Linked DNA regions of Oryza sativa Japonica Group. The main gene of each other region encodes a partner of the protein of the gene in region 3 in a complex. Links are inferred from orthologs where the notes say so. Each region holds a gene or a part of one and is shown on either strand. Other genes may lie near its edges. The genes, in order: condensin complex subunit 2, structural maintenance of chromosomes protein 4 and condensin-1 complex subunit CAP-D2.

What was found.
Region 1: condensin-1 complex subunit CAP-D2 (region 3) and condensin complex subunit 2 share a complex: the UniProt entries of both Arabidopsis thaliana proteins name them as parts of the condensin complex. The link is inferred for Oryza sativa Japonica Group from reciprocal best matches to the Arabidopsis thaliana genes AT3G57060 and EMB2795.
Region 2: condensin-1 complex subunit CAP-D2 (region 3) and structural maintenance of chromosomes protein 4 share a complex: the UniProt entries of both Arabidopsis thaliana proteins name them as parts of the condensin complex. The link is inferred for Oryza sativa Japonica Group from reciprocal best matches to the Arabidopsis thaliana genes AT3G57060 and SMC3.

The regions. Positions count from the first base shown.
Region 1 is NC_089035.1:19,816,824-19,821,045, reverse strand, and holds the start of condensin complex subunit 2, read right to left. Parts: upstream 2,859-4,222; 5' UTR 2,813-2,858; coding exon 2,507-2,812; intron 2,355-2,506; coding exon 2,253-2,354; intron 2,132-2,252; coding exon 2,014-2,131; intron 1,324-2,013; coding exon 1,256-1,323; intron 1,164-1,255; coding exon 1,103-1,163; intron 982-1,102; coding exon 781-981; intron 690-780; coding exon 388-689; intron 1-387. UniProt on the Arabidopsis thaliana protein: Regulatory subunit of the condensin complex, a complex required for conversion of interphase chromatin into mitotic-like condense chromosomes.
Region 2 is NC_089039.1:24,530,153-24,534,476, reverse strand, and holds the start of structural maintenance of chromosomes protein 4, read right to left. Parts: upstream 2,828-4,324; 5' UTR 2,492-2,827; coding exon 2,357-2,491; intron 1,201-2,356; coding exon 1,111-1,200; intron 531-1,110; coding exon 429-530; intron 344-428; coding exon 167-343; intron 1-166. UniProt on the Arabidopsis thaliana protein: Central component of the condensin complex, a complex required for conversion of interphase chromatin into mitotic-like condense chromosomes.
Region 3 is NC_089041.1:28,021,104-28,024,199, reverse strand, and holds part of condensin-1 complex subunit CAP-D2, read left to right. Parts: coding exon 1-252; intron 253-339; coding exon 340-531; intron 532-1,274; coding exon 1,275-1,925; intron 1,926-2,028; coding exon 2,029-2,199; intron 2,200-2,289; coding exon 2,290-2,357; intron 2,358-2,445; coding exon 2,446-2,668; intron 2,669-2,778; coding exon 2,779-2,882; intron 2,883-2,977; coding exon of another isoform or gene 2,978-2,981; coding exon 2,982-3,093; intron 3,094-3,096. UniProt on the Arabidopsis thaliana protein: Essential protein. Regulatory subunit of the condensin complex, a complex required for conversion of interphase chromatin into mitotic-like condense chromosomes.

The DNA.
Region 1 (4,222 bases), on a different chromosome or scaffold from region 3:
CAAAAAAATATACCCTCAGATATTTATACTTCAGAAAACAAACAAATAAACCATAATTTGAACTGAGTACTTCAGACATTTCAATCAAAGAAATGTCATTGGATGGTGAATGAATGGATAAGTAATAGGCATCAAATTGCATCCTACAAAGTTACTCAATTTGACTTTTATCTTAAAAAAATATTAATTGATACCATGATTAATCAATGTTTTCTCACATTCATTTAATGTCAATTCTCATAGATTTTTAAACTGCGCAGAAAACTCCAGTAATTGGAAACATTGGGAAATAAAAAGAAGAAAAGAACAAAAGCTGTCAACCCCCAAAAAATGCATGCTCTAACCACACACAAAATGTGTCTAGGTTTTACTGTTTGCAGGAAGTACCTCTTGACCGTTCATGGAGCTATGATCCATTGGGTCACAGTGTTCATCATACACGCTCTCTTGATCATCACAACCTCCAAAATCCCAAGTTCCACAATCATTTTGCATATCATTTTGTGTGATGTCATCATTCGCCACATCATTACCGTCAACCACCTGATCTTCCATCACTGGAATTTGCCTAGAAATTGCTTCATGAGGTGGTCTTCGGTTTTCATCATCAAACTGATAAACTATATTGCTCAAGGTAGGAGAAATATCATTGCAGAGGGGCATATGAATTATCATCTGCTCGATTTGCTCTGTTTAAGAGTAGACCATTACAAAACCTTAAATGGAAATAAAAAAATGCAGAGCATAGACAGCAGAATAGAAACAGATTGACAATCATACCTTTAGCAAATGAAAGACCAATCAACTCAGCCATCTCAGTTTGCATATCACTTAAGATGCACTTGTCAGGTGCTTCAAACGAATCAAAGAGCACACGGCAACTGTCATATACTCCGAGGTTATATGACAAGAGACCCTTTGCCCCACCCTCATCAAATTGCGCGGTAGTTTGATGGTACAAAGGATCAACCGTGAAGGCAACTAGCAGAAAGTGCAATAAATTAATATTATACTCTACAATTTTAAACTTTTGGTCCTATGATAGTAATCCCGACAGAAGCACAAAGCAAAAAAGTTTTTAAAAGATCTGCTTGGAGCTTACCATCAAACTTCTTTACATTAAGCGAATCAAATGAGGACTCCAAAGTTGATGTGGGTGATATCTGCACATATGAAACAGCACTAGGCTATTAGAAAAAAAACCAAGCAGAACTTAAGTGGAAAAACGAACAGTAACCAATTCAGATAGGCATACCCTCCTATCTGCATCCTTTTTGTTTGTACCTTCTTGTGAATGCTTTGGATTGCTACCTTCTTCTGAATCTTAAGTAAAATAAAACACCAAATCAGGACATCATAATGAAGCAGCATGCATTTACCAAGGGAAAGCTATAGGCACAACAAAGGTGTATTTATGATAATTTGCAGAATTACTGCCTAACTTTTACCTTAAGGGTGTCTTTAGTTCCTGAAAAAAGTTGGAAGTTTGAAGAAAGTTGGGAGTTTGGAAAAAAAGTTAGAAGTTTATGTGTGTAGGAAAGTTTTTGATGTGATATGATGTGATGGAAAGTTGGGAATAGGGGGGAAACTAAACACGGCCTAACAAATAAAACAAATGATCAAATGCAATTCAACTAATCCTCGTGCATCATTTATCATCTAAGGTTTTGAGATACAGTAGTAGCATGATCGTGAAAACTGAAGAGTGCTCCAATGAACCAAAAGTCAGAAAAGGCCATTTCTCACAGGGACTTGATTTCTTAAAAAAAATCTTAAAACATCTTTCTATTTATTGTTCGATCAATTTATAGATGGACATTTTTTTTGGTACAAAGCCAAATTTCTATCATGTAAGTTGACTTAGTTTGAATTTAACTGAAACAGTTTAGTGGTGCCCAGAATACTAATAATACTTTTGCAACTCGAAGCTGACTCACATGAATAAAATCGAATTACAATCGAATGGCTACAGTAAAAATTGGAAAGCGCTATGAAACTCTAGTGGGTATTTACCAGCCTCATCGCCTCTTCCAGCACGGTTGATGCCTCCAAGCACCTTGTACGCCTCAGAGTGCACTGAATCTACACGCAAAGAGTAAATCTTCACGCCCGCCTCGAGCGTGCAGCTAGCCTGGTCACAAGAAAATGGTTAAAAAAAAATTTCTCAATCGAAGTCAGAAGAGGTCACAAATCTCCTCCCACGGTAGTAGTAGAAAGAAGGTCGAAAATGGAAGAAATCAGCACAGCCGCACCTTCTGGAAATTGGTCTCGTCGTCGTCCTCCTCCCCGGCCTGGATGATCTCGCTGAGGTGGTCGATGAGCCCCAGCTCCCACGTGTTCTTCTGGTTAATTTTCTGCTCAAATTCCCCATCGGAAAAGAGGGGGAAAAAACAAAAACACAAAGAAGGCGAACTCAATACGAGGCGCGCGCGAGTGGCCCTAGGGTTTCGGCGCGGCGGTGGGGAAGAACAACGACGAGGGGGGGTAAGGTACAGAAGGCGCGTACGTTCTCGGAGGCGAGCTTGATGCAGTTGTGGAAGAGGTCCATGACCTGGTCGCGGTTGAGGAGGTCGTGCTGCTGCTGCGCCGCCGCCCTGGGGGCGAGGGACGCGGCGAGGGAGCGGCGGCGGACGGAGGCCGCGCGGGCGGCGGCGCGGGCCCGGGCGCGCTCGAGCTGGTCGTCGTTGGAGCCGAGCGGGAAGGCGGGCGGCGGCGACTGCAGCAGCAGCAGCCGCGGCCCCGCCGCCGTCCCGCGCGCCGGCGGCGGGGTCGGCGCCGGCGCCAGCGCGGTGGCGGGGTCGGCGGCTGGCATCTTCGCGGCCGATCGATCCGCGGAGAGGAATGTCGATTTGGGGGATTTTTTTTTTTTTTGAGTCGGTTTGGTTTTTGGGGGGGTTTTAGGCGGCGATTTCAAATTTTCGGGGAGAGCCGCCGGAATGGGAAGGGGTTTGAGGGAGTTGGAACGATGGGGGGAATCTGTCTAACGGGCGGAAAGAAGTGCATCTCTCTCTCTCTCTCTCTATGCCACGTGGGCCCACTGGTCAGATAAGGACATGTGGTCGTGACAAAATTCAGTATATGTATGCTCATCATTTCATGATTTTTTTTTTTAGATTTTCCCTTGCTTTCGTCAAGATTCATAATAATCTGCTCTTGTTTTTCTGCATTTTCTAGTTTTTTCTTTTACTTCTTCTTTTTTTACTCCTGCCGCATCTACCACATGAGGGCATGTTTATCCGATGAAGTAGGAACCGAACCAAATATCCACATTTTTTTAAAAGTAACATGGGTGAATCTACTCCACAAAATACAAAGGGTGCAGTTACTTTTTTAAAACTCCAAAACTCTAGCTTCATATCTGAAATATAAGTATTTTTTGCTGCATTAATCTGTATCAATATTTTTGGCAACGTTATCTCGTGATGGTGGTGGTTCTATGTACATGAAGCCAATGTTGATTTTTATAAGTTATGTTTATGCTTGCGATTTGGCTAAATGAGGAGAGAGGATTGCTATCTAGCGTGTACGTGCCAGCAGGTGCTCCTACCCTGCGCATTTTTCCTTTTTTATTGCTGTTTTTGCACGCTCCCCAACTTTCCGGTGCGTTTTCCTTTTTTCATGATTTTTTTAATCTCCAGCGCATGTTTTTCCTTTTTCTGTTTTTTAATGTATTTTACAATTTAGATCTTTTATCTCAAATTTAAAAACTTCTATTTGAAACTTTCAGCTTAAAATTTGAACTCAAACTGCAAAACTTACATCTCAAATTTCGAAACTCTCAACTCGAATTTTAAAAACATTAACTCAAAGATTAAATAAATCTTGAGTCAAAAGTTTTTAAATCCGAGTTAAAAGTTTTAAAATCTTGATTTGAAAGTTTTCCAATCCGAGTAAAAAGTTTCAAATATTGAGTTAATGGGATGGAAGTGTTGAATTGTAATCCAAATTCATTTGCACACGAATAAAGGCCAGCTTTAAATGGAGCGAAGCGGAGGCCCGTCGCCGGAGGTTTGGGATACCGTGGTTTTTTCTCTCCTACTTTAGAAGGGTTTTCCATGTTAAATCTTATGTCTTTATGATTGATTTATTGTTTTTTATGGTTTATGTGTCTATCATTTTCTAACATGATGGAGTTGGGAGAGCCGCTCGACACCGTCGTGTGATGGAGCCCACTCCCGTCAAAGGAGAAATTCAAGTACAAGTGCACAACAGAAACATTGAC
Region 2 (4,324 bases), on a different chromosome or scaffold from region 3:
ACTTGGAAGTTATGCAGTGCAAAACCATAAAATATAACACCATATGGATGTCTGTTATATCCCTCATAGTCATGTAAACATACTAAATAATATGCAACATATGTCCAAAATTAAACTTACAAAACACGCGCATTTTTCATGTGTAAATGGAAAAAGAAACACAAACCTGAAGGATCAAAAAGCGATTATTATCAAGGTCAACTCCTTTGCCCTTCAACAGTTTAGTTACTTCAGTGAAATTGCTTCCACGGTCGTTTATGTAGTATTTAGAAGTGTTGTCACGGAAAGCAACTCTTGTGATGATAAAATCACTGCCCTCAACAGCCCTGTAGTTCCCATCATCCTATGATGGACATAGAGGGAGGGAAATAAATTATGTGGCACTAGCTAAGCAATATGAAATGCTAAATACTTGGCTCAAGAAATACCAAATCAATGATTTCTTGAAAATGGACGGAGACCCCAGCACTGTCTAGATTCTGGTGGTTAGAAGAATTGTGTATGAGTTCTGAGACCTTGTTCAGGCGCATCTACAATGATGGAAAACTGGTCAGAAACAGTCTATGATTTGAAACAACCTAAATAGGTTGTTCTGAATTAAGAAAATATGGAGTAGCTAACAAATAGCAAGATCATCTCTCAAGAGCTTAAGTTATTCGTGAATTTTATAGCATTTAATCCAAAACTTTTAAGGAAAAACCTTTGGAGGAAATGGGCAATAGTAAACAGGAAATACAAGGGCCCCATTGTATTCAAGTATTAAATACATTTCTCTTCAATAACTAGTTTACTATCATGAAAGTACCATTACACTAAATTCTCAAAAACCTTTGGGCAGAGACTTTGAAGCTTACTTTTCGCCTTGCATACAAAATCAGTAACACACTAACAAACATAAAGTAGCAGTTTGTTGCCCAGCCTTTAAAAACATTGGGAATAACTTACACTTACATGCCAACTTTGGCATCTAGCACTCGCTGAATGGATAAAAAAATACAATGACTTTTTGAGATAGAATAAATCAATGATTAGCTTAAATCTGCCACTGAGCTGACCAGAAAAATGTTGAACATCAATAAACATTTACAGTTAGGAAGCAATATTGCCCACCTGTTTTGCACGCTTCCCAAACACAAACAGCATCGCATCAATGACATTGCTTTTCCCGCTGCCATTTGGCCCAACAACAGCTGAGAAACTCTGAAAGCAAGAAAAAGCGGTTATTCTTTTATACGATGCATGGATCCTAGCGACAGAGTGGTAGACCTATGTTCATAAGAGCTTGAAGCATAGTGCACTCATCGATAGTACCTATAAACAGTTTATAATGATATTCTGCACAGAACACGATGGTTACACACACAAGAATTGTGAATTCTGCACAGGTCACCATAAAAACACGATTATAAAGTTAGACGGCATTTCTGGAATGTAAGATGTGTTACTACTCACAAATCATAGTCATTTGGCCACTTAAATTGATGCACTTGAAAATCAGTAAAATTTAAAATTATGATAAACGTTGCTTTCCTTATATCTTAGGTACTACAGAACAAGTGAAAGTTAAACTGCAGAAACGACATTCTGAGGATAAAAGAGTTAGGTCTGAAATTTCAACGTATGAAAGGGCAAATTCAGATAGAAGCCATAGAACTGAATAAGGAACCTCCATTTCTGGGTAGAACAAATGCCATTAAACCATGTGACTTACTCTTCATAATAAAATATCTCCAAACAAAACAAAGTGAACCCAAAACATACTACTGATGGAGTATGACCATGCCACTCTAAAGTTTCAGAACAAATGTAAAACCAGTGCACAACTCAAAAACCTCCACTCTAATCTAACATTCGTGAGACCAAAACTAGACCAACAAATTCAGAACCTAATAAACAAAACGTCACATAGGTTCAGAACCTAGTAACAATGCGCGTATCGGTATTTCACTTCATAAACTAGAGGCCAGGCAGAACGGCCACACTGAAGATAACACGAATTCCTAAAAATGCTATAACACGGTTTTTAACTTATTTAGGATTCTGTAGGCACTGGGAAATGGAAAACTCAAATGAAAGTATACGTGGTCACCTCCTACGCTATCACAATTGAAGTTAAATTGCTATATCCAACTGCCGTGCCTAGGGTTCAACGATCGTACAGGTCAAGTAAAAAAAGCAAGCCCACCACATGACATTGCAGCTGGAGGGTCCTGAATAGCGCCAAAAACAAACGAAAACCGGGGATTGGTAGTGGGGGAATACGTCATCTATGACTATGAGCGCGACGAATTAAGATATACTGTAGCTAGCTTGCGCGCTCGTGTCGTGTGCTTGCGAGTGAGAGAGAGAACGAGACCTTGTGGAAAGGGCCGATGCGCTGCTCCCCTGCGTACGACTTGAAGTTGCGGAGGACCATCTCCTTTATGAACAGCCGCGGCCTCCCCGCCCTCCCTGGCGAGGGCGCGGGTGACCTCGGCGGGGAACTCTCCATGCCTGACCGCAGCAGCAAGGGAGGACCGGACCGCGAGAGCCGCCGCCGCCGCCGCCCGCCCGCCGGAAGATCACTCGCCCAGCAAGGGCGGCACCGGCTGAAGGGGGGCGGCTCGAGGACAAAGGCGACCAAGCGGTGCGCAACTCGGGACGACGGCGACCGCGCGCGCGCAACTCCGAGCGACGGCGACCGGGCGGCGCGGGTGCTCCGGGCCCGACGAAGGCCGCGGCGGTGGAGGCGCGCAGATCTCGGGCCGTCGGCGGTGGAGGCGGAGGCGGTGGCGGTGGGGGGATTTTGGGGAAAAGTCGAAGCGGCCGAGAGGGGAATGTGGGATTTGGGAATTTTGGGCGAAAATTTGGGAGGGAAAACTGAAACGGCGAGAGGATTTTCTTCCTCCCGCTTCGAGCAAATGTGTCAGACCAAAAGGAAGACTCTGGAGTTGGGCTGGATTACGAGCGATGCGCTGCTTTCGTGTGCGAACTTATATGGGGCTCATGTTGGGCTGATTTCTGGTCGGCCTTCTGCTTCGGAGAAAGTTCACTTCAGGTTCCTCTTCTTGTCATCGAGTTTTGAAATTGTCCATGAATTGGAAAACCAGATATAGCACATCCCTAATATTATAAAACTGAGGCATATTAAGTCCCAAGCCAGTATTGATAATGATTTTAGTTGATGTGGCGGCTGAGTCAGCACGGAACCCACATGCCAGTGGCCCAATCTTCTTCTACCTCTCTCCGCCTCTTTTCACATCTCTCTCCTAGCCTCCATGAGGTTGGTGGTGGGCGATGGCCGAACAGGAGAGGTGCGGTGAGTTGACGGGGCTGCAAGGAGCTCAGTGCGGAGGTGGCTTGATGCGTCGGCGAGCTCCCTACCACTGACACCACAACGCCTTGTGATTTCACGCGGCTATGATCCTTGCACCGCTGCCACCACAATTCACCTCTGGAGACACATCCTTTCTCTACTACTACGGTGGGTGTCCCCTCTCCCTCTCGTCGAAATTTTTCGGCCCTTCTCCCTCCATCGTCTCCCCTCACCACTGCGCGCGTCTCACTCAAACCATTCGCCGTCAAGGAGTACCTCGTCGACACCTGCGGCCTCACCCGAGCCCAGGTATGCAAGACTTCAGAGAAGTTATCCCACCTCACTACCAGGGAAGCACCATTGTAGCTGGAGACAGCAGCCCTACCTCAAATGGCTCTTCCGGCTTGGGGTGTGACATTGCAGCAGGAAAGTGGCTCAAGGTCGACGTCGCCCGAGTCATCGTCGTCGCAGAACTAGAGCGACATCGAGATGAGAGATAGTGGGTGCGGAGGTAGAGACAAGTGCTGTGGCAGTGGGCACGGAGGCGGAGGCTGGCCCGGACGTGGGCACTGCGGTGATGGAATCACATTAGGAGCGGAGGGAAGAGAGGGACGGTGATTATTTTTTTTATGACATGTGGGTTCAACACTGACTCAGTCGCCACGTCAGCAAACCGCTCTAAATATTGTCTTGAGACAATGAGACCCATTGTAACCCGGTTTTAAAATATTAGGGATACATTATAATTGGTATTCCAGTTTATGGGCGATTTTGAAACCTAACGGTAAGATGAGTGACCAAGTGAACTTTTTCCTTCTCTTTTTGGTTGAGATGCGCATGGGCTGTTCGGCCCAGGCAGACAGATAATACATAGAATGGCTTTAATAACGTCTTTACAAGCTAGTAATACATAGAATGGTCCTACAATATCAAAAGTGTAAACACCAACACTGTTTGGAACTTTGGATGATCTGAATCATTTATCTCACAATCACCCAGCCATCAGGATGGATTTGTCATGGGGGTGGA
Region 3 (3,096 bases):
AGTCAAGACCCAAAGGATCAAGATCCCACAATTGTGGATATAACAAACTTGGAACAGATTAGAGCTTTAGTTGCATCACTTGAGGCTGGTCTGAGATTCTCGGCATGTATAACTTCATTAATGCCAACTCTTGTCCAGTTGTTGGCATCGTCTTCAGCCACTGATGTTGAGAACACAATTCTTCTATTAATGAGATGCAGACAATTTCAGATTGAAGGTTCGGAAGAAGCCCTCCGGAAAATGTTACCTCTGGTAATGCCTCCCTGGAAGTGTAGGTTGTTTGTGAATATGAGTTAGAATGTACACTTCGTCACTTCCTTATCTTCATAAATTTTGCAGGTATTTTCTCAGGATAAGTCAATATATGAAGCTGTGGAGAGTGCATTCATCACTATATACACAAAGAAAAGTCCCACGGAAACAGCCAAAAGTTTATTAAACCTTACCATTGAATGCAGCATTGGTGACCTTGCTGCCCTTGAAAGCTTAGTTAGTTCATTGGTATCAAAAGGAGAAATTTCATCCAACACGGTGCACTCTTGTTTCCCTTCAAAGTTTGCTCATAGCAACCTTTCAAATGCTATTTTTTACAGTTTAGTTACAGTAATGCTAAGTACTCCCCCCATTCCAAAATATAGGGCACAACGATTTTTTCCCCTAATGTTGCATAATACGAGGTTCGCATGCATGCGTGCATGCTATTGACTAGCACCTCCCCCTCCTCTAAGTTCTATTTTTAAAGCCTCTACCCTCAAGATCTCTGATCTCTAATCCCATTGGGTGCATGCATTTTATTTATTGGGATGATCCAAATTAGAAGGTGATAATAATTTTTTCTTGGTTTTTGCGTAAGAGATAGTTGCTCATTATATTTTGGAATGTAGGGGAGTACTCATTTATTCTAGCACACCAATCTCCTGTGCACCAAAAGTGATTCTGCACATAGATTGAGAATGCAAGGTAGTACTAACTTGCAATTAAGTGAGTGCATTAATTGCTGAATATGCATAAATTAAGAACTTAAGATGCATGCAAAGAATATTGCTCCCAGTTTCTCCACTTTCTGATGTGAACTTCCCTTATCTAGATCCTACAGTGGGAACTTTTTTCTGTTCATCTTGAAGTATCTTTTGTTAGCTGCTCATCAAAATAATTTATATTGCCTATAACATAACTTATACCATTTTGTCGAATGTTATTTATCTAACTTCAGTGACACCTATTATCTTTTGTTGGGGAAGTTCACACTTGTTAAATCCCATTGTCTTTTGCAGATAACAGCCCTGTGGGATTATTTTTGCTTTCACATCAATGGTGTGAAACCAGTGCAAAGCCGTGGAGCTTTATCGATTCTTTGCATGGCAGCAAAGTCATCTCCCAGCATTTTGGGTACTCATTTGCAAGATATTATTGATATTGGGTTTGGACGCTGGGCTAAGGAGGAGCCTCTGCTTGCTAGAACTGCATGCATTGCCCTGCAAAGATTATCCAATGAAGACAAAGTCAAATTAATTAGTACTGGTAGTAGGGTATTCGCTGCATTGCAAGGCCTGATAACTAGCCTCTCACTTCCTGAGAAAATATGGTATGGAGCCGCAGATAAAGCTATAAGTGCCATCTACGCTTTACACCCAGCACCTGAAATCTTCGCTGCTCAGATTGTAAAGAAATCACTTAATTCTGTATTCGGTGTCTTAGGAACTGATTGCATGTCAAATGAAAATGAAACTCAGAATGGTTCCATGCTGTCATCGACACCAGCCACAAATCTGGGCAGATTTCTTTTCATTATTAGTCATATAGCACTGAATCATTTGGTTTACATTGAGACTTCTGTTAAGAAAATTCAGAAACAGAAACGGAAGAATGACAAATCAGAGCCTACTGCCGAGGATCTTCAGGCAGATGCCTCCAAAAATTCGGAGGTATTTTATTTCTTAGTTTGCTTTGTGGCCTAATCGATTTTGGGTTACCATTCTTTCGTCTGAGTGTGTATTGCACTTCTCTTTTACTGTGTGATGCTGGCAGGCACAAGGTATAAATGCTGAGTTGGGAATTGGTGCATCTGTAGATATTGCAATAGAGTCCCTCGCTGAAAAGGCAGAAAGGGAGATTGTGTCCAATTCTGAAAAGAATCTTATTGGATACTGTGCACCATTTCTCGCAAAACTCTGCAGGAACCTGGCTTTGCTTCAAAAGGTCCTAATTTGTATTGAGCTTCCTTTATTTTCTTAATGTTTTGACTCTACTACTCTCTGTTTTTTGTTCCTTACTTTTTTGTTAATGCAGTTTCCAGGGTTACAGGCCTCTGCAATGCTTGCTCTTTGCAAGCTAATGATTATTGATGCAGAATTCTGGTAAGTATATATTTATATTCCAGCTGTTTCACCTTTTCAATATGATGTGCTCCAGATATTTATATTCCATCAAATGCTCAACTTTCAGTGAAGCAAATCTTCAGATCCTATTTACTGCTGCTGAGAGCGCGCCTTCTGAAGTTGTCCGATCAAACTGCACTATAGCTCTTGGTGATTTAGTGGTTCGCTTTCCAAACCTCTTAGAACCTTGGACAGAGCACATATATGCACGCTTACGTGATCCTTCGGCATCTGTGAGGAAGAACACTGTGCTTGTCATTTCACATCTTATATTGAATGATATGATGAAGGTCTCTCTCTCTCTCTCTCTCTCTCTCTCGTGTGTGTGTGTGTGTGTGTTTGTTCGAACACCATGCCCCTCTCAGTTTTATATTTAAACATCTTTGCAAAATATTTATAGGTTAAAGGCTTTATTAATGAAATGGCCGTAAGGATAGAAGATGAAGACGAGAGGATCTCAAGCCTTGCAAAACTCTTCTTTCATGAGTTATCAAAGAAAGGCATGTCCAGCAAATGTGTCGGTCAAATAAATTGCGTAACTTGAATATACATGTTTGACTTATCTGACGTTTAGTTCTTTTTCTTTTTGATCTTTTTAGGAAGCAATCCAATTTATAATCTTCTTCCGGATATCCTGGGTAGATTGTGCAATCAACAACTCAAGGATGAAACGTTCTGCAGCATTATGCAATTCTTGATCAGCTCTATTAAAAAGGTA